Linked DNA regions of Astyanax mexicanus. The main gene of each other region encodes a partner of the protein of the gene in region 2 in a complex. Links are inferred from orthologs where the notes say so. Each region holds a gene or a part of one and is shown on either strand. Other genes may lie near its edges. The genes, in order: nup50 and ran.

Region 1 (11,146 bases), on a different chromosome or scaffold from region 2:
TAGTATGCACTAAATGTGTGTAATCAATAATTATTTAATTATTTAAATAATTGAATTATTATATTATTTAGTTATTATACAAAAATAGCAAAAAAACTAAAATTAATTTTAAAAAAATAAATTTTGTTCTGCCAAATAAGTAAAAAGAAAGAAATAGCCTAAACAATGTCTATATATTATGTGTTGTAGGTATGTCAGCTGAATGTTGAAATATATATTATATAATGAAATATTTATTATATAGTATTTTTTTTGTCCAGTGAAATCAAGACAGAAATGTAAAATGTAATTAAAAAAAGAATAAAAAAAATAATTAAAACCTGTTAAAACATGCTCATTATTTGGTCTTCAGCCAAATGATCCATTTTGTCCATTTTCAGGCAAATATGTTAATTTCTGCAAATCCCTTATCAGTACCAGTTTCTTAACAACATTTACTGCATTTTTCAAGATTTACCGGTGATTGGCTTGGGGGTAGCAGAGGAACTGAAGCCTCCAAAAGATGGGGTTACAGATGACATGCTGCCGTTGGTCAGACCAGAGAGGGGTTTGAATCCAGTTCCATTACCAAAGCCTGTGAATCCTCCTCCTCCTCCTCCTCCAGCTGCCGGAGCCGACGCGGTCAGAGAGAAACCCTTAAAGCTTTTAAAAGCTCCTCCACTCTCACCCTGCAGCAACATGAAAAAACTCCTTAATAATTTACATAATTACATAATTCACACTGCTCTGCATTCTATAGTAGTACACACAAATTAAAAACACAGCTACAATAAAATATTAATAATATATTACTACTTTATATAAAGTACATAGAAGTACATAGAAATAAACACTATTGAGAGCGAAGAACAAACAAAAATGACATTAGAAAACTTAATGTCTCTGCTTTGAGAACTAGTTGGAGGCTTGTACTCGACACTGACTGCTTGGCTTCAATACCCACCCAATGCTGAAACTTGAGAAAGCTATCTTTAGCTGGTGTCTGAATAATAAACCAGGAAATAAATAGAAATAACAGTATGACCAGACGAGTTTAGCTCAGACAGTAACTCTCATTCGAGTAGAACTGTAATTTAGTAATAAATATATATATATATTTAATAATAATATATATAAATAAATATATATATATTTATTTAAAAATAATAATAATAATTATAAAAATATATTTTTTATATTTCATAAGTGTATAAAAAGAACCGTAGAACACCATACTTCATATAAAGAAAAAACAGACTATAACTTGAATACTGTCTACATAAAACCTTCCTACGCTCTGTGCCACAGGCATAACATGTGGCTATAACTTTATTTCAGCCACATGGCGCTTTGCCTATTTACTATTGGCCATTATGGTTATCTGTTGGAAACATCTATTCTTATCCCTGTCTTATATTTATAATAAGGAAAAGTTATTTCACGACAGGTACCTTACCTATTGTTTTATTGTCCAACCCTAATTCAATGCACACCCATTTTTTTTAACACTTGGCTCCGTAACCCCCTGTAAAAGTCACATTGTACCACATGCCTGATGTCTACTGACAAAGAGAAGCACTTCACTTACCTCAGCTCCAAAATTTCTACGCTTGGCTTTCTTGATGGCTCGGTTTTTCATCACATCCTCACTCGCAGTTGAAAATGTCCCTGCCTGAAGAAAGGAACAACGTGTTACACAGGAGAGGATTTTTAGGAAATGGTCCAACATAAAATCAAAATGACAATTTTCTGTTCCCATAATTGCAGTCACTCTGCAAATACAACTTTGTCTTTAGGTCTGCCTGCGTTTATAAATGTTATCGTAGGTAGTAAGTTATCAACACCAATATAGCATCAACTATGCATACCACCACCACCAATGCTTTATTTAAAAATGAAACAGAAAAAAAAAAAAAAAAAAGGGACGCACTTCATATAAAATTGTAAATAGATTCATAAGTAGCCCCAAATGGTGCACTACACAGAGAACAGGACAAAGGTTTATAAATATTTGTCCAAAATAGTGCACTACAGAGTAAATAAGACAAAGTTCTATAAATGTGTTTCCACAAGGCTACAACTACTGATCAAACCCACCTGAGCCAACAAATTACTGCCTTCAGAAATGCCTGATCAGTTATTGGGGACGTGTTAGATTTGGGATGAAGGTGTAATCTGCAGGACGCCAGCTCTCAGGGAGCAGGGATGTTGACCCCTGATATAGTGACTTTAGAGTGCACTATATATTGACTTGGCTGTAGTGACAGGTGTAATCCAAAACAGTGCACTGCAAAGTTAACAAGGTGTAGTTTCAGATAAAGCCAAAAATGTGCACTATATACTAAATATGGCATAGTTACAGATCTAGTGCAAAAAAGTGTATTATACAGGAAATAGGAAACAGTGAACTATAGAGTGACAAGGGCATAGTTACAGACATCATTCAAAATAGAGTATTAAGGGAACTTCTTAAGTGCAGTTTCAGAAAAGGCCCAAATGGTACACTATGCAGCACAGATATTGTCCAATAAAGTGCACTTATACTGTATAGTGCTGTGGTTCTCATTAATGATCCTGGACTACCACAGCCCTCCCAGTTTTAGATTCTAACACACCTGATCCAACCAATTAATTGACATAGGAGGCCTTGTTGAAACAAATTGGGTCTTACAGTAAGAAAACCCTAGATCAAGCAGGGCTTTGTTACCCCTGAATCAGGATTGGGAACCACTGATAAACAAACTATGGTAGTTTCATTTGAAGCTCTTTCTAATGATTCAATAACTTGAAAACCTACCAGACAAAATGTTTACCCTAAAATTTCAGTCTCAGATTATTTTTTTAAAAACTGAACTGCCATTATAGAGACAAAAAACAAAAATCTAGACGTTTTGCTTGGTGAAAAAATAAACAATTTCAATGTGGCTTGCGTCTACATGAAAAAACACAGCTTAACTACAGGAATCATACCTCTTCCCCTTCATCTTCCTGATCCCAGTTCCTGTCTGTCAACTCCTTCTCCGCAATCCGCTTTGCCATCACAGACCTGCTGACAGGTAAAACAAATGTGAAAACTATTAACCAAACGAATTTCAACAAATAAAGTGGTGAGCTCCAAAACCTACCGAAGTTATGTGGTTTATTGATTATATATATATTTCAGTCAACTAATCTGTATTTGTCTTTCATTGAAGGAGAGAGCAGGCATACATAAGCCTAAAACAGTCAAAGTATTGATTCTGCCTTTTTAAGTTGGTACAGCCAGTTCTATATTAAGAAAAAGGGTTTTATTCATAGATTTATCAAACTTACAATCTGCTGAACACACAGATTGTTAATAATTACTTGAAATGAACAATAAAACTGGCACGCGGTGAGGTAACGTAAGACAATGAACATATGTACAAGATAACATCACACCTCTGAGATAATTTTGGCTGCATTTTTATTTCTAATGATGAAAATCTCTAGAACTATATTTTATTTCATATCACTACATATTTTCGGGAGAGAAAATTGTGAGGCACATGTCATTTGTTGCCAAAACTACACTAAAACAAATACTGCACCACTGTCATGACAACTAAAACAATTTTGTACTGACAACTAGAGTCTCCAATGTGTTGCATTTTCTACAGTTAGCTCATGTATCTATTACAATTAAGCCATGCATTAGAAAGACTGGTCCAGGGTTCAGGCACTTTTTTTATACCTTTTCAAACTTTTTCTTTTCAGTTTTGTTCAGTGCTGTCAGTAGCTACTCTGTAGTCACGTTTTATAACTGCCATGTTCCCGCAAACCAAACAAAACTTTGTGTTTTTTAATTCTACTTCATACAGAGTGAATGAGGAAATTCACTTAAATTAATAAACCATATGCTGACTTTAAAAAGTCATTCCCTTTACAAATCTATACCATGATTGATACAACAACCCCCCAATATTTCAGGAACACAGATTTAAGAAAATATTTCATCAACATACTTTATTGGGAAATGAGAACAGTGTACATTTAACTTTTTCTAAAAGCAGCAAAGTTGTACCCTGATATGCGACCAATATGGCCCCAAATTATATCAAAATTTCTTTGCAAGATCTATAACCTATACAAAAACGTTGGCTGTATGGTACTAACCCCTAACGGCCACTTGAATAGCTAAATGGTTCTCCTTATTTAAGTAGGTTAAAAAAACTCCCTCAACTTTATAAATGTGCCATTCATTTAATAGCTATTAGCCTGTAAGAGAGCATAAATTATATAGTTTAACTGCTTAGCCTACTTAGCTTAACGGTGAGCTTAAATCACTAATTTTTGTTTAATAAAACCTACTGTTACTTTACGAAACTTAATCAACCTAGTTAGCTTGTTTATTTGAATAAATGACTCACTCTATTTAGCTAATTTAATGGTTAACTTAAGCTCCCCGTCTAAGTTAGCTAGTTAGCTACATAGTTAGCTAGCGTACCATTAATTTAATAGGTAAGGTTAAATCATTGCCTGTAATAAAGCAGCAATTCTATAAATCGCTTAGCCTACTTAGCTTAATATCACAATTTTCTTTCAAAAAACCTACTATTAATTAAAAAAACTTAATTAGCTAGTTAGCTAACATTTTAAAATAAATTACTTTCTATTTAGTTAAGCTAACTACCTGACTAAGTTACCTAGTGAGCTATCAAGCTTAGCTTGCTAAACTGTCCCCCCTAACCTGAGGAAACGGTTTATTTCACTGAGAAAACGTTTTTCAAATAAAATTTAACACATAAACTAGCTAACCTAACGCTAGCTGAGCTAATTCCCTCATAAACTCCAGCGGTTGTTAGTTGTGTAATTGAGCTCTGACAGACACCGCGCTGTGTTAGGTTAGCTATAGTGTGTCTGGAGTTACAGAGAGAGAGTTGGAGTTAATCAGTCAATCAGAAAGTAAAACCACACAGTAAATCAGCACATTATCACCCCCTCAGCTCTAAACTGCTCCCGAGCGGCTCAGCCGGAGAACAGACGGCGGTTAAACAGCCTGTCCTCCGCAGTAACACTGTAACAGACCCGCCACATTCACAGCACATTCTCAGATTTGGCGGATTGGCGGCGGAGTGACGGGCGACCCGCGGGCCGGCAGCCATGTACAGGCAGGCCGGTCACATAAACTAGCTGTTAGCCGTTAGCCGGAACACACCAGCTCACCCACCGCTAACACTCCGCACACATTCTACCGATTATACACACCGCACCGGCGTATACTGACCTTTCTGAAGAGCACCACACGGTACCGAACTGCTACACTGTGATAAAACGGCTCCTAATACAACAACACCGGCAGCTTCACACTCTCACCACGCCACCATCTTACAAAACGGGATATTCGCGCGTCAAAACGGAGCACTGCGCATGTGCAGTGAAGGGGAAGCGAATGTGGTTGAGGGAAATGTAGTCTTTGTGAACAGTTCCCCCAGAACTACAATTTGTGCAATCTGAAAACATGCCATGAGCTCCACAGTAACAGGTAAACACAATACTAACAAAAGTATTAACTCCTCACAATCATAGAACTCCAAATCATTGAGGTAAGTAATCTTAACAGAATATTTTCCCTTACCTAAGGAAATTACTCAGGTGTGTTCCATAACAAAACCCCCCAACAATTCACTTATCTAGGGGTAAGCTGTAAGAGATTTACTGCAGTGACTCAGGTTTTACTGCAGTAAAGTCCCACTGTAACAATAAGAAAAGCTCATAAACGTAAATAACCGTTCACTGAACATTGTTGCTAGAGAGCCAGTGTTGCTAATTTAGCAATTTTGTTGCTGGATTTAGTGACTTTTGAGAATCATAAAAAAGTAGTAAAAATCTCACTCAGATATGAACATGCATGTATAAACAGTATGCACTTATAACAGTATACAATTAACATTTAGTGTATTTACATTTCTGGGGGTTCTGTTCAGTTTTGTGTAAGTGTGTTTGGTGTGTGGTGGGTGAGGTGGGGGCTGGGGTTAGCTCTGTCTCTGTGTGTTGAGGTGTCTGAGATGTGTGAGATATCTGGGATGCCCCCTGTGCAACCAGCCCAGTTGAGAAATTCTATCAATACTAAATATTCCACAGCCAACTGTCAGTGCTATTATAACCAAGTGGAAGCGATGGGATCTAAAGCAACTCGCTCTGTCAACTTGAAATAACAGTGTGTGGTCAGCTGATGCTGAGGCTCATAGTGTGCAAAGGTGACTAACTTTCTGCAGAGTCAGTCGCCACAGACTTTTAAACTTCATGAGGCCTTTAGATTATCTCAAGGATAGTAGAGCATAGAGAACTTCATATAATTTCCAAGGCCAAGCAGCTCCATTCAAACCATCCAATGAATAGAAAATATCCACAATTGTTATGCTAATTAAATAAAAATTAAATAGAATTAAAAAGAAACATGACAAATGTCACCATACTTTTTTGTACAGGCATGTCCAATACTATGACTTGATAAAGGTAAAAGATTTTTACCAATATTTTTAGTCATTCTTGTTTTGTGCGAAATTTGAACACCCCAAAAGATGCATGCTCTCAGATAACTTTTATCAAGGTCTTAGGCTGCCATCAAGCCCTCCTCAAGTAATAAACAGCAGTTCTGGCTCCAAGACTGGGCCAGGGGTGCACCATGGCCTAGAAAGCACCATGCCCTGCAGCCCCTCCTACACACACACACACACACACACATGCGCATTTACTCAGTTTTGGAAGTGCATAGTAAATGGTTATCACAATATATATATATACAGTTACTGCAAACAAACCAAACTCACAAAGAGCTACACATGAGCTTTAGGTGAGTAATGTTTATATGTATGTATCATATGCATGGGAGTAAACCATTAAAAATGTACTTTTTTTTTTTTTGACATGCCTGTAACTCAAGTTTGACACTGATAAATATGAGTTTGTATTCTGTTTTAGCATTGCTAGAAAAGCTTATCTAAACCATGCATTTGTGGGTTTTTTTGGCCATGGCCAGGAATATCATGTTTAAACTCAATATATTGTATGTTTGTTTCATTAGTTTGAATAAGTTGTCTTTTTTGTTTCATTTTAATGTAAGATATCCCAGCCAACTTGTTCATGTGGGGCTCACGTGGTTGCAATATGGGCTAGGCCTCATGTGCTGTGTACAACCTAGATACAGTGTATAGACCATATTTAACCCTTCCTGGTCTCATCACTGAGCCTGTTGGCCCAACACTTACATCTATCCATTTGTGGGGCCAAATTTAAACCTGTGGACAAAATTACTGGTTCCCAGTTGGGCTACACATTTAGGATGTTTCTGGGACTGTTTTAAAAAGAACCATATTTAGTTTAAATTTAATTCGGTGCAATACAGACCCGAATGGACTCTGAACTCTGGGAGAGAGCAGCTGATGTAATTTATTTCTGTCAGGCTGTTGGTGGGGTTGCGCTCCATTGCAGGGTGGGATTGATTCAGATAGACTTTGGGGGGATTTCATGGAAAACGCTGCAGTGTTGCGGAGCAGATGGCGCTGATCCAAGCCCTCAGGATCCCATAGTCGTGGTGCCAACCCGGGAACAGGTGCTGAGGAAAGTAGGATGTACGCTCAGGGCCTGAACGTCCACAGGAGAGCCCTGACCAGCTGGCCAGGAGAGAGCGCAGCAAACAGCGAGGTGGGGGATCAGCCTCAGTGTGTGGGACAAAAAATAGAGAGTGAGAGAGTGTGTGTGTGTGTGTGTGTGTGTGTGTGTGTGCATAGTCCTCCTTCTCTGTTCCTTATGAATGGGTGGATAATGAGATTAACCCTTTAAGCTCTGAGCCTGTATGGGGGTAGGCCCAAACTTCAGACCCTCACTTTTACAACTAAATAACTTATATATCACTGAATAATAAATTACCAAATGGTATGCTGACCAATTAGAACAGAGACATAGTTTAGATATGTTTTAAATGAACAGTAATAAAAAACAGGCACTTTCATTTTATTTTATTTTAATTTTCTTATAAAGAATATATGATAATTATTTTAAGAAAAAAAAGTCCCCAAAAAGCTCCAAAATCCATATCACAGGAAGATTAAAAAAATCTTTGTGGTGGAGGATCAAGTAAGGAAGAAGGATCAAGGAAAAAGCCAACTTCCTTAAAGTTAATAATATATTTATGGTGGAAAAGTAAATTTAGAATGTGCTAGGGAAACATATTACCCCCAAAAAATCTTAAAGCCATTTAACAGGGAGTTAAAATCTATTTATGTGTGAGGAGTTCCCAAAAATCTCTACAATCTCTGATACAGAAAATTTAAAATATTCATGCTGGAGGAGTATATGCAGGATGTTCTAGGTAAAAAAAAAGGTCCTAAAAATAGAAGTGCATAGTGATATTGTCAATATTGCTGGAACAGGACTAAGTGAAGCTGGCTAATTTGCTACAACTATATATAAAGTTGTTTTGAAGCCTTTCCCTACCATCACCACTGTAAAGTGATCCGAGATGGTACGTTTACACCCAGCAAGCCAGTTTTGGTTAGTAGAATGTTTTCTGAGTGTTACAATTAATGTTCTTACAACGTTCGAGTTTTTTTACTTGTCATTTCATTTTTAGCTTTGGGAATAATTTATTTAACTTTTCCATAATTTTAGTATTTGTCTATATGGGAACATTATGTGAGAAACATAAAGAAAAAATATTTCTGTGCTCTTACAGGATAACCTTCCAGGAACCTTTTTAAATTGTTATTAAAAGACGTTGCTAAAACATTCTCTGTTAGCTGGATCTGTTTCACACCAAATTACAATGAAGTACTCTGTTTATACTGTATCTCAGAGACTGAGATGTAAATGTATAATTATTAATACAATTAATAAGAGTTCCATCATTATGATCGTTACAATAAACAGTAGACTAATGAGGCTACAGGGGTCAAGAGGTTAATGCTAAAACCAAGTGATCTGTGAACTGTATTTGAGGAACCATTTTAATATTCCAGAATTTTCTCTCTGGATGCCGTGATTAGCTTCTGTGGGCTCTGAGAAATGCTGAAAAGCGGTTTAAGGACGATATAATTATGCATAAACTTCATCGTTTTTGCTTCAGCAGGTGATAAAACGCATTCAGGCCATGACGTTTTTTCCCATTCAGGCTAAATTGCTGCAGATTTGCACTCACTTCCAATGGAGTGCATCAAAACAGCAGCAGAAAGTGAGGAAATGGGTGACGGCTGGCTGGGGTGGGAGGGGCGATGGCCTGCACATGACAAAGACGGGATGTAAAAGGGCCTCCTAATAGTTATGAAGATTACTGGGCTGATAAAATTAGGGGGCCTCGGACTCGTCATAAAGGGACGGGGCCTCTGACAGGCTGTCATGTCCCAGTGCGCGCCCAGCCACCACGTGATGTTCTCTACAGGGGGAAGGAGAAATGGATTGATTTCAGATTTTTCAACAGAACTAAACTCTAAGCTGCTCTCAGCAGCTCATCCACAGCCAATTCTGTCCCAGAGGGCCTTGCGGTGCCATCGATCACTGTTTATGAGGAGATGTTTTACATCAGTGATTATTGTAAATGATTAAAGCAGCTCTGTTCTGACACGGCTGGCTGTTTATTGAAAGACCACATTCGGGTGATTTGATGGAAACTTTCCCTTTTGAAACGGCAAAACTACATTTAAACTTAGACTACGTTATAACACACACTGCAAAATCAGCAAACTCAAAATGACTCTATCACAGTTCATTTTAACACACTTTAAAAGAGATTTAATACTTCCTTGCATTTTCTTCCTGGCAGGCCAGAGCTCTTTTTATTTTATTATAATATATCAGGGTAGTTTTGATGCTTTGTTACACCTTTAACAATTTGGAAAGAGGAAACCTGCCAGCAGCTGTGTGTATGTGCGTATATGCATGTGCGTGTGTGTGTGAGAGTGAGAGAAATTTAGTCCTTATGTCAGCATAAATAAAAAGTAATTATGATTAGGCATGTCAATAAGAATTTTCCCAGAAAGTTTTGCAATAAACGATATTATTGTCATTTTAAGACCATCAAATGACACTGATACAGTAGTAATATTATAGTATAACAATGCAATTATTCCCTTTTTAAAGCCAAACAAATACAATAGACGATATTGTAATTATCATATATTATTGAATCAAGTCCAGTTATTGTACAATTGATAGTTGATAATATTATTATCGTAGCAGGCCTAGAAGTAACGTCATGTTTACAATGCTAAATAAAAATGCAAATGCATCCCCAGGCTCTGTTAAAGGAGTGAATTACGGAGTGAAAGTTGGGGCCAAACTTTGTGTAATTAAAAAAACTGTACAGCACTTATTTTGCATATAATATACTGTAAATCATGTACAGCTCTGGAAAAAATAAGAGACCACTTAAAATGATAAGTTTCTTTGATTTTACCAAATTAAAAACCTCTGGAATATAATCAAGAGGAAGACGGATGATCACAGCCATGAAACCAAGCTGAACTGCTTGAATTTTTGCACCAGGAGTAAAGGCATAAAGTTGTCCAAAAGCAGTGGATAGTGTAAGACTGGTGGAGGAGAAAATGCCAATATGCATGAAAACTCAGGATTCAGGGTTTTTTCACCAAATATTGATTTCTAAACTCTTAAAACTTTATAAACTTGTTTTCTTTGCATTGCTTGAGATCTGAGAGGTCTGCATCTTTTTTGTTATTCCAGCCATTTCTTTTTTTTTGCAAATAAATGCTTTAAATGACAATATTTTAATTTGGAATTCGGGAGAAATGTTGTCTGTAGTTTATAGAATAAAACAACAATGTTCATTGTACTCAAACATAAACATATAAATAGCAAAATATACAAAAAGATTCAGAAATTAAGGTGGTCTCTTATTATTTTCCAGAGTTGTATTTCATAATCACGTATAAATTATTGCATTTAAAACTGTGGAAAAATATGGCACTCCCCTTTCACACATCACTGTGGGAACAAGCACTTCTGTACTGTATAATTAATTGAAAAAAAAAAACAAATATCACTACATTTATGGCTCAAGAAGGTTTTACTGGTATAACATTTTTTTGTTCTTTGACTGTAATATATCTGTGAAGGCTGTAAAGTTCCTATAGTGTGACTCATTTTTAAATCAACACAGACCAACTTTATCACTTCCTCTTTTAAAGAAACAAAC
Region 2 (10,976 bases):
CTCATCAGGACTGGCCCAGAAAACATTTAGTTTTTAGTTAAACTTTGGACTAAATTCTTTTTATATCATTCAAGGTGAAAGAATAATAGTTCCAGGGATTAACCACTCTTGAATATTTAATAACACTACATATAAAACTGTAAAAATATTTCACGCAAAAAAAAAAAAAAAATTTAAATGTACTAATCCATTGTACATAGGCCCGTCACAACAATTACATTATTGTACAATACGTATCATACAATATGTGGACATAACCTCAATCATTTTTGCTGACTTCAATATAGTTCTTTAAGAGTGACGTGTAACTTCATTATTATGCTATTATGTTATCCTTATTTCTATGTAATGAAAAAGTCATATTGTGCTTTGCAAACAATTCCAGCACAATATACCTTCTAAAAGAATGAGTTATTTACACATATCTCATTGTTTATGAATATATCTACTTTTTATAAACAGTATTGTTCTGTCTATATATATTTCTCATGCTCTGTCTCTCTTTGTTGTTTTTTTGTCAGTAGACTAATGCTGGTGGGATGTCTACAGCACTGCGCTTGCTTTACTCCTCCAGGCCAGGTGAGCCTCACTGTTTATAGAATAGAGTTATTATATGAGTTTATAGAACTTTTTTTACGATGTCTACTGAATTTGTGTGTCCTGAATTTGGCTGGTCTGCAGAACGAGGATGGTTCTCATCAATAACAGTCTCTGTCCTTCTCAATGTTTTATTCAGGCACATTTGCTGCCAGCCCTGTCCTGGTTAGAGCCTTTAGTGTCACCATACAAAGAGAAGGCTACAGTAAGGCATAAACACACACACACACACACATCAAATTTAGCTCCTTTTAATGTACAGATGAACTACTTAAAGCAATATTATGTGCCACGTTTACCTTAAAATAGCAGCTAAAGAATTACTGATGCTTCACTAAATGTAATATAGAGAATGCCGAATGCCGTAAAAAGTACCATCAGGGCCATATGCAAGAAATACTGTTTAAAACTATGAACAGACTTTTTAAAATAAACAATACACTGTACTGCAAATCCAGTTAAAATTGGATAATTATGCTTTTGTTGTAATGTAACAGCAAGTTACCCACCCCTGTGAACATGTACTGTTTTGTGTTTATATACTGTAATTGGCTGTGTCTCTTTATCTCTAAAAGAATATGTGAATGCTCAGGAGCTGCCCATTGACATGAAGTCTGTTACTGATCGAGCGGCCCAGACTCTGCTCTGGACTGAACTGTTCAGAGGTCAGTATACTCCTTGTGCTTTTCAGTTAAACATCATTAATCCTGTTTTCACCTTTGATTAGTGTACCACCGTGATGGTTCACCTATTAGATGTATGGATGAATAAATTGGTGGATGGGTGGGTTGGTGGTTGGATACATCAATAAACACATAGATAAATACTTTATTGATCTCAGAGGGAAATGCAAGAAAGTGTGGACAATGCCCCTTTAGTCAATTCTTTAGTCATAAAACCAGAAATTCATCCTGAGAATAAACATGATGTTCACTGCTGCCCTGCATATTTAAAATAAAGATGTCTATATGATATACTAAGAAACACACCAGATGTTTGTTGTTGTAGAGAGGCAAAAAAAAACTATAAAAAAATTAATCCTAATAAAAACTATAAATAAATAATCCAAAGGTCACCCTTCCCTATGCCTAGCAAAGATGAAGATGACGACCTCCAATATTAGGCTGTAGAGCAGTGGAACTGTGTTCTCAGGAGTAATGGAGCTTTGTCCAGTACCATTGGAGTGGAGATCATACAGTTGTGGTCAAAAGTTTACATACACTTGTAAAAAAACATAATGTTATGGCTGTCTTGAGTTTTCAATAAGTTCTACAACTCTTATTTTTCTGTGATAGAGTGATCGGAACACATACATGTTTGTCACAAAAAACAGTCATAAAATTTGGTTCTTTCATAAATTTATTATGGGTCTGCTGAAAATGTCACCAAATCTGCTGGGTCAAAAATATACATACAGCAACATTAGTATTTGGTTACATGTCCCTTGGCCATTTTCACGGCAACTAGGCGCTTTTGGTAGCCATCCACAAGCTCCTGGCAAGCTTCAGGTCGAATGTTTGACCACTCTTCTTGACAGAATTGGTGCAGTTCAGCTAAATGTGATGGTTTTCTTGCATGAACCCGTTTCTTTAGCACTGTCCACATGTTCTCAATGGGGTTTAAGTCAGGACTTTGGGAAGGCCATTCTAAAACCTTAATTCTAGCCTGGTTTAGCCATTCCTTTACCACTTTTGATGTGTGTTTTGGGTCATTGTCTTGTTGGAACACCCAACTGCGCCCAAGACCCAACCTTCTGGCTGATGGTTTTAAGTTTTCCTGCAGAATTTGGAGGTAATCCTCCTTCTTCATTATCCCATTTACTTTCTGCAAAGAACCAGTTCCACTGGCAGCAAAACATCCCCAGAGCATAATACTACCACCACCATGCTTGACAGTAGGCATGGTGTTCCTGGGATTAAAGGCCTCACCTTTTCTCCTCCAAACATATTGCTGGGTGTTGTGGCCAAACAGCTCAATTTTTGTTTCGTCTGACCAGAGAACTTTCCTCCAGAAGGTTTTATCTTTGTCCATGTGATCAGCAGCAAACTTCAGCCGAGTCTTAAGGTGCCTTTTCTGGAGCAAGGGCTTCTTTCTTGCACGGCAGCCTCTCAGTCCATGGCGATGTAAAACACGCTTGACTGTGGAGACTGACACCTGTGTTCCATCAGCTTCCAAATCCTTTCAGACCTGCTTCTTGGTGATTCTTGGTTGACTCTTGACCATCCTGACCAATCTCCTCTCGGCAGCATGTGATAGCTTGCGTTTTCTTCCTGATCGTGGCAGTGACACAACTGTTCCATGCACTTTATACTTGCGTATAATTGTCTGCACAGTTGCTCTTGGGACCTGTAGCTGCTTTGAAATGGCTCCAAGTGACTTCCCTGACTTGTTCAAGTCAATAATTCGCTTTTTCAGATCCACACTGAGTTCCTTTGACTTTCCCATTGTAGCTTTTGTAGCTGAGTCTAATCACTGGGTCAAATGAGCCCTATTTAAATGGGCTCATGAGAAGTCAACAGCTGTAGTCAATCAGAATCACTTACAAGAAGTGAAGAGGCCATGACATGAAGCTAATTTGATTGACACAACTCGCTACATCACCAAAATTGACAAATTTTGTTGCTGTATGTATATTTTTGACCCAGCAGATTTGGGGACATTTTCAGCAGACCCATAATAAATTTATGAAAGAACCAAATTTTATGACTGTTTTTTGTGACAAACATGTATGTGTTCCGATCACTCTATCACAGAAAAATAAGAGTTGTAGAACTTATTGAAAACTCAAGACAGCCATAACATTATGTTTTTTTACAAGTGTATGTAAACTTTTGACCACAACTGTATGTGCCAGAACATAATTTAAATGGGATGTTTGACACCAGCCACACATGAGCCTAAGGTCAATATACCCAATGCCAAACAACAGCTAGAAGGCTAATATTGCTGAAACATTACTTAACCATTTAACAATGTTTCTTACTGTAGTGAGTAATTTTTGTGTGACCTGTGTTGGATTTAGTGCATCAGGCATTTTAGATCACCTTCACTGACACCAGTTCAGTGGCCAAGAAGGACTGAATATATTATGAAGTAGAGATTTTATAAAAGCATTTGTAAGTGTTTATATGTGTGTAGGACTGGGCATGACTATGAGTTACCTGTTCCGAGAGCCAGCCACCATTAACTACCCCTTTGAGAAAGGACCCTTGTCCCCTCGATTCCGTGGAGAACACGCGCTGCGCAGGTACCCAAACGGAGAGGAGCGCTGTATCGCGTGCAAACTGTGTGAGGCCATCTGCCCAGCACAGGTATACCACACACACACACACACACACACACACACACACACACACACACACACATACACACAGCATTATTACAGTGCAGTATTACACATACACATACAACTACAGTATATGAGATGGAGTGAGGCCTAAGAGTGGGTGCAAATGGATGGGACATTCCCTTTCTGAAGTTGTGTGGGCATTTAACATTTCTTAATTGCACAGTCATGTGTGCACTGAGAATACATCATAGAGGGCATTAACACCCACAGCGGACTGTGCAATAGCTGGTAATGATTGTGACCGGCAGCATCTGGCAAACAGACAAGTGACTCTGGCAGAAATCACATCATATTCAATGCACAAGTGCTGCGTTTTTTGATACCTTGGGATATGGCAAAAATTATGGCATGTTAGTGTTTATGTGTGCAAAATGTAATGTAAATAAATTGGTAAGAAATAAAAACACAGATAAGAGTTGGGACCTAAACAGTAAAGTGTGTGTTTGTGTGTGTTGCAGGCTATCACAATAGAAGCAGAGACCCGTGCTGATGGCAGCAGAAGAACCACTCGCTATGATATTGACATGACAAAATGCATCTACTGTGGATTCTGCCAGGAGGCATGCCCTGTAGATGCAATTGTGGAGGTGCGCGCATGCACACACACACACACACACACACACACACACACACACACACACACACACACACACACACACACACACACACACACAGAGATGCTCCATTTTCACTTTTACTGTTTTCTTCACCTCGCTTCTCTCTTTCCCCCTTTCTCTCAGGGTCCTAATTTTGAGTTCTCCACTGAGACACATGAGGAGCTGCTTTATAATAAGGAAAAGCTGCTGAATAATGGAGATCGCTGGGAGGCTGAGATCGCTGCCAACATCCAGGCTGACTACCTGTACAGATAAACAGCCCTGAACAGGAAGCAATACATGCAAACCATCAGAATTAAGAAAATACATCTGTTGTCTGCTCTTTATTACAGCCATAATTGCAGTGTATACTAAGAAGCACTCAGTGCACCCAGTGTAGGAGAATTCATTGTATGGTTCAAACTTCCAAGGTAATGAACTGAAACATCACTAATCGCATTCTCAGGAACTTAATAATCACGCACAAATGTACACAAGTACACAATGAATGAAGTGTAATTATTGTATTTTATAATAGATTTACTTTCAGAAATAAAACTTTAAAAAATATTTTGTGTGCCTGTGTGTGTTTTTTGAGTGAAAGGCATAGATAATGTGGACATTTTTATCAGTAGCATTCATATTACTAATAAAACTAGAGAAAGAATTGGTAATTAGTAATGTATATCGTTATTGTAAGTTATTGTAGTACCCGAACAGTTCTTTCTCATGTCCTTAATGTTAGTTTTAGTCTGTAGTTTTAGTCTGTTAGTCTGAAGTGTCTGTAAGTATAGTATTTTGATGCCATCTCAGCTGATCCAGCAGTTTGTGATTTTATGGTTTTATATGTGTTGCTAGGATTAACTTGCAGTAAATAATGTACATATTGTTTGTATTGTATTCTTATAGCTTGTACTCTGTTCGTGCAGTGTAAAATGGATATTTAAATAATAATAAGAATGGGGTGTACATAAATTACTGTATACTTTTTTTTAGAATGTTCTACAAAACTGTATCTAAATAACCGAATATAAATACATTCAAAAAGCTATATAATAGTTTATGTTAAATGTGGAGTGGTTCCAAACGAATAATTATGCAATGTGCAAGGGGAACGCCTCCCTCAGATTTAATGGGCGCTCATGCAACAACCTTAAAAGATGTAATACAACCTAAGAAACAACGTTCATGCAATGTTCTTTGGTCTAAAGGCAAGACAAACCCCACCCTGCACTCTGTACCTGCTCCATGGGAAAGTTTAGGGTTGCTGCTGTTGCAGAAAGCGGCCAGGCGGGGGCGCGTTACTGCGCGCGGGTTTGCCTGGTCACGTGCTTGGGGCGGAAGCGTTAATGCGGCCGCGCTGAGAGTCGCGCGCTCGGTGCCATTTGCTCTTTTCTCACTGCGCGGCAGAGCGGAGCACGAGCGTCCAGGTAGGAACTGCGCGCGCTGGGAACCAGAATCAGCCCTTAGCGCTCACACACACCCCGCGTTTACACCGCAACACATCGCTCAGCCTCCCGCGCCCCGCTGCGGCACCGATTCAGCGGATCCGCGGGTTAGATCAGGCCTTTAGAGCGGCGGGCTCGGCTCGGTTTAACGCGGTAGCATCGTGTGGCTAGGCAGGTTAGCGCTTAATGCTAGCGCGGATGCGATTACGTTATTGCGTTCCCTGATTTTATTATAAATCCGTAATTTTGGGTGTTAGTCCTGTGCTGTAGGGTATATGTAAGGTGGAGGACTGGATTGGAGGGGTCTGGTCTTTCTGAGATCCGGCGCTCTTTTTTGTTTTGTTGTCCGGTAGCTCTAAAGGAGGACAGTCCTCATCCAGCGAGTAGAAGTCCATCCCAGGATTTTAATCCGACCGCCTGTATCGCTGTACTGCAGCTCATCGGCTCAGCTTGCGTTAACTAGATATAAGCCACGCTAGTTACCTTGATATATTGTTCTGTGCGTTCTAGATAGCTTTTAAATCATTTTCACTTGTTTACATTTGCGTGTGTATTTTTCACTTGTGACTAATGTACTCAATATGTCATCCATGTAGTATTTTATTGCCTCAAACCTTTTTTTGGCCATAATCGATTATCATATGGCTTCATGTAAACTAACCAAAACCTTATTTGTGATCAATCATTTTAGGAGAACTTTAAACTTAACACCTAATTTGTGGGCTCAGTATGTTAACCTAACTACCGTAGCTAAGCTATGTTTTGGCCTTTGAAACAAATTTTTGTTCCCTGTAAGATTTTAATACACCGTTTAAAAGAAGTCCCTGCAATTCAGCTAACTTAATGTGTGGCCTATATATTTTTGTTGAATTAAATAAATTTGCTTTTGTGGTCTTCTGCAGACTAAATGTGGCCACTATATTACCTAATGACCTCCTTTTAAATTTTACTGTTGTGGCTACAACTCAATTTGACCAATAGCTTGTCATATAGCTATTGCATATAGTATTTCCTGTTCACTACAAACTTACTTATTGACTACTAGCTAGTAACGTGGCTAATTTGAGGCCCCAGTAGCTAGCTAACAGTGTTACATTTGAGCTCTCAAAATATATTTCGTGGCAGCTAAAACATTTTTATATTTAGTTGCCTGTAAATAGTTTTATAGAAAGTACCCGGGTGTTTTGAAACAAAATATCCTTGGGTGGATTTTTACTTTCTGGACTTGGATTACCCATCAGTATTGGTAGCGAACAGTTAGCCGGTTAGCATTAGCCAGCGGAAAGAGAGCAGGCTAGCGTTGGCTAAGCTAACTGGATGGATTTGCTTCTGGTGAGAACTAGAAAAGCGCGGCAGCTGTGCGACATGACGCTCAACCAACCAGCAGAACCGGCTCTGAGAGCTCCCATCCGGACTGAACTCGAACCCGGTGGTCGGAACCGGTTCAGACTCGCTTATAGCAGAGCTACCATTCATATTAGCCATAGATGTAATATGTGAGGCGTAGTGAACGCGGCCCCAGCGTGCTGTACGTGTAGCTAAGCTAGCTCATTAGCATTTACTGCGCTCTTGCTTGGCGCCTTTATCAGACGTTCTGGTGGTTGGTTGATTGATGCCGGGCTGCTCAGGCCGCTCAGGCCCGTCCCGCAGCTTCACTGGGTTTGCCCGACACCGCGTGTGGGGAGGGGGATTGTTCTCCGGCCTTTTGTCTGCCTGTATTAACCCTCCCGCCATCTCTCCCGCAGAGTCGCGCTGCGTCAGAGACCCACACACACACATCCAACAATGGCAGAAAACGACCCACAGGTTCAGTTTAAGGTGAGTATTTCATCTAATAAACTACACTGGTGACCTTTTAGGAAACATTGTTTAAAAAAAAAACCTCAACTCTACTGAACAAACTTATGAAGTCAGCTTAAAGGGCCATGCCCCCATTTTTATTAACTTATAAAAGTTGAGAGGCGAATAGCCATAGCCATATTATTTGTTCTGAAGCAAGAAATGAGCTTATGATGTCTGAATTAAATATCTAACGTTTATCACAGTAAGTTACTGACAGATAAATTGTCTCTGGTTGTCTAAAAAGACCCTCCTGTATACATTCATACCATCATAAATGGCAAAGCTTGTCTTAATATTGCTTGTTAGCCAGAGCACTCAGAGCAATTATTGCAGTACAGTATAGCAGTGTGTCTTTTAAGACACATTTTAATATTTTTGTAGTTGTTAACTGTTTTTCCAACCCACAGCTGGTTCTTGTAGGAGATGGAGGTACGGGAAAGACCACCTTCGTAAAGAGGCATTTGACAGGAGAGTTTGAAAAGAAATATGTTGGTAAGTTTGGCTTTGGACTTGTAAAAAATTGTATACAGGCCTGTTTTAGAACTTTACTATATTCCAGCGAATGTGCTCAAACTCAGAAGTGCTCATTTGAGCACTGTGGCCTGAGTGTGACTCAATCGCCCCATTACACATAGAGGGAGGTTTGTGCTGGGGAGCTTTAAGTATGTCAGGCTTTGCAGGGTAGGTAAACATTGTGCAGTCAGTTAAAACAGTAAATCAAGTTTTAAGCATGTCTTTTAATTAAAAAAATCTTTTGTGTAAATACTTCTGTGTATATAATTAAGTATTGTTTTCATTACCCTGCGGGTCTGTGCACTTATTTACATCTGTTTGTAATGACACCTTTTTTTTTTTTTTTTATCTGCTTTTTCCATTCAGCCACTTTGGGGGTTGAAGTACACCCTTTGGTCTTCCACACTAACAGAGGGGCAATCAAATACAATGTATGGGACACAGCTGGACAGGAGAAGTTTGGTGGTCTCAGAGATGGCTACTACATTCAAGGTATATCTCTTGCTTGCCATTGTTGTTAATCTTTTACACTCAGTTTTTAAGGTCAAGCACCATAGCTTCTGTTTTACTGAAGCCTCACATCTTTTTGTTCAATGACCCAGTAACAGAACCAAATCTTTACACATTACTGCAACTTTAGTTTCATTTTCTCTTGCTTGTGTCTCCAGCTCAGTGTGCAATCATTATGTTTGATGTCACCTCTCGAGTCACTTATAAGAACGTGCCCAATTGGCATCGTGACCTGGTCCGCGTGTGTGAGAACATTCCCATAGTTCTGTGTGGCAACAAGGTGGACATCAAGGACAGGAAAGTGAAGGCCAAGAGCATTGTGTTCCATCGCAAGAAGAATCTACAGGTACAGCATAATACCCTATACTTCTGTTCCCTGGAACAATGGGTGTGTCCTGCCAGCAATTTTGTTACATCTGAATGACTAATGTTGCTGTTATGCAGTGTTAATGTGTAATTTTTAGATCTTTAGTTTGGGTTGGAAGGATGTGAAGTTTGATTGGCTGTTAATGTATTGTTAAATCTTTGTTTCCGTTTTAGTACTATGACATCTCTGCAAAGAGTAATTATAACTTCGAGAAGCCTTTCCTTTGGCTTGCACGAAAGCTGATTGGTGATCCTAACCTTGAATTTGTGGAGATGCCTGCCCTTGCCCCACCTGAAATCGCTATGGACCCATCACTTGCTGCACAGTACGAGCATGACCTGAAAGTAAGTACACATACACAAGTGATAAAACTTAACCAAAGTTTGTATGGCTTGTTTTTACCACAATATTAATATATAACTTCTTTCTTCTGTCCTTCTCCCAGGTGGCATCAGAAACAGCTCTCCCAGATGAGGATGATGACCTTTAACCTGTTACCCCCCCTCTGATCTTTCCTTGTGGTCTTGGCCCTCAAAAGGAGTTTGCCCTTCCCCGCTCCCCTTTTACTGTAAAACCCCAGCGCAGATTATTTTTATTTTTCAAGTTTTGTTTTGTTTTTGTGTTTTCAAATTGAATAAAAAGTGAAGTTGTGTGGTTCTCGGATTTCAACGTAGACTTGCTAACCCTAACGCCACCTTTCGGACTCACTCTAGGACACATTTAAACACATGCCTACACTCTGAAACAGACATGCAAACACTCAATCACTCAAAGGCGTGAGAGCAGTTTACTGAGTGTCCCAGTGCTTATTCTATCTGTATGGCTCTAAGCACTTAGAGAACAACTTTGAATAAAAACATTCTCAAAATAATGTTGCTTGGCTTTTTATTTTTTGTTTCAAATTAACTTATTTTGGGTCGTTTACTTTGCATAAACTAAATCTGTCATGGGCTTAAACTATATTTAAAGTGGGACGTGTTTGGCCAGCCTAGTTGTCCAGCAGAAGAGAGGTCAAGGCAATTCCTGTTGGGCTGTTCTGATTTTATAAATTGGGTTACTTTGGAAGTAGCTTTCTAGGCCTTATTGTGTACATAATTTTAGTTCTTTGAAGTTTTTAATTACAGTAAGTTCAATTTAAAAGACTAGAATTTATTAATGTCCTGTCTTGTCTATCTTTAACCCCATAAAAAAAAATTTAACTAGTTTTAGCTGATTCGCTTTAGGAACACGTACCTCTTAAGTATTAATACTTCTCTAAATGGCTGAACTCTAACTTGCATCTCTTGATTCTTTGCTGGCTTTACCTGCCATGATGGCAGAACACTTTTTCTGTCCTTTATAGAGTTATGAGGAGCTCCATTTAACATTGTGAGATTCAGGCCAAGAACAGTCTTTCATTAGTTTAAGGTGTTTTATACAATGTATAAAATGCAACCAGATTCATGCTATCTGTAAACTTTATTGAAAAGTCTTTTTATATATATATTTCTTTAAAAGCATGATTGGTGGTTATTTTGCTAATAATTTAAGCTTAATGTTGAATTTGTAAGTAATTTGCATTTTAAATTAAATAAACGGGGGAATATACTCAGTGAAGCATATTCCTCCACTATACTTATAGGCCTGGTTTCCCAGTTAGACGTAATACCTGTCCAAAATGTAGAACCGTTGCTTACTATGTTCCCAGTGCTTCTTTTTGAAGGGTTTGAAAATGTGCTCGATGCTTGAGTCAGATATGACTGTATTATGACTAA

Evidence for each region.
Region 1: the proteins of ran (region 2) and nup50 are in contact, whole or in part, in a crystal structure (PDB 7MO0), measured with the Homo sapiens proteins. The link is inferred for Astyanax mexicanus from reciprocal best matches to the Homo sapiens genes RAN and NUP50. Residues at the interface, in NP_006316.1 of Homo sapiens: Arg29, His30, Thr32, Gly33, Glu34, Phe35, Glu36, Phe52, Val124, Asp125, Ile126, Lys127, Ser153, Asn154, Tyr155, Phe157, Glu158, Phe176, Ala178, Pro180, Ala181, Leu182, Ala183, Pro184, Glu186, Val187, Asp190, Pro191, Ala194, Tyr197; in NP_009103.2 of Homo sapiens: Pro344, Pro345, Lys346, Val347, Val352, Lys362, Cys363, Lys364, Phe366, Tyr367, Lys368, Asn371, Glu372, Phe373, Lys374, Glu375, Lys376, Gly377, Ile378, Lys384, Lys390, Gln392, Leu394, Arg396, Thr399, Asn400, Leu401, Asn403, Ile404, Leu405.

Annotation. Positions count from the first base shown.
Region 1 is NC_064409.1:16,129,906-16,141,051, forward strand, and holds the start of nup50 (nuclear pore complex protein Nup50), read right to left. Parts: upstream 5,375-11,146; 5' UTR 5,225-5,374; intron 3,029-5,224; exon of another isoform or gene 3,026-3,028; 5' UTR 3,019-3,025; coding exon 2,950-3,018; intron 1,652-2,949; coding exon 1,568-1,651; intron 669-1,567; coding exon 458-668; intron 1-457. UniProt on the Homo sapiens protein: Component of the nuclear pore complex that has a direct role in nuclear protein import. Actively displaces NLSs from importin-alpha, and facilitates disassembly of the importin-alpha:beta-cargo complex and importin recycling.
Region 2 is NC_064417.1:22,955,887-22,966,862, reverse strand, and holds ran (GTP-binding nuclear protein Ran), read left to right. Parts: upstream 1-5,848; 5' UTR 5,849-5,972; intron 5,973-7,735; 5' UTR 7,736-7,775; coding exon 7,776-7,808; intron 7,809-8,239; coding exon 8,240-8,324; intron 8,325-8,711; coding exon 8,712-8,837; intron 8,838-9,013; coding exon 9,014-9,201; intron 9,202-9,395; coding exon 9,396-9,566; intron 9,567-9,667; coding exon 9,668-9,712; 3' UTR 9,713-10,093; downstream 10,094-10,976. Other genes in the region: ndufs8b (NADH:ubiquinone oxidoreductase core subunit S8b), read left to right, coding at 540-579, 737-802, 1,173-1,262, 3,736-3,908, 4,405-4,533, 4,687-4,818. UniProt on the Homo sapiens protein: GTPase involved in nucleocytoplasmic transport, participating both to the import and the export from the nucleus of proteins and RNAs. Switches between a cytoplasmic GDP- and a nuclear GTP-bound state by nucleotide exchange and GTP hydrolysis.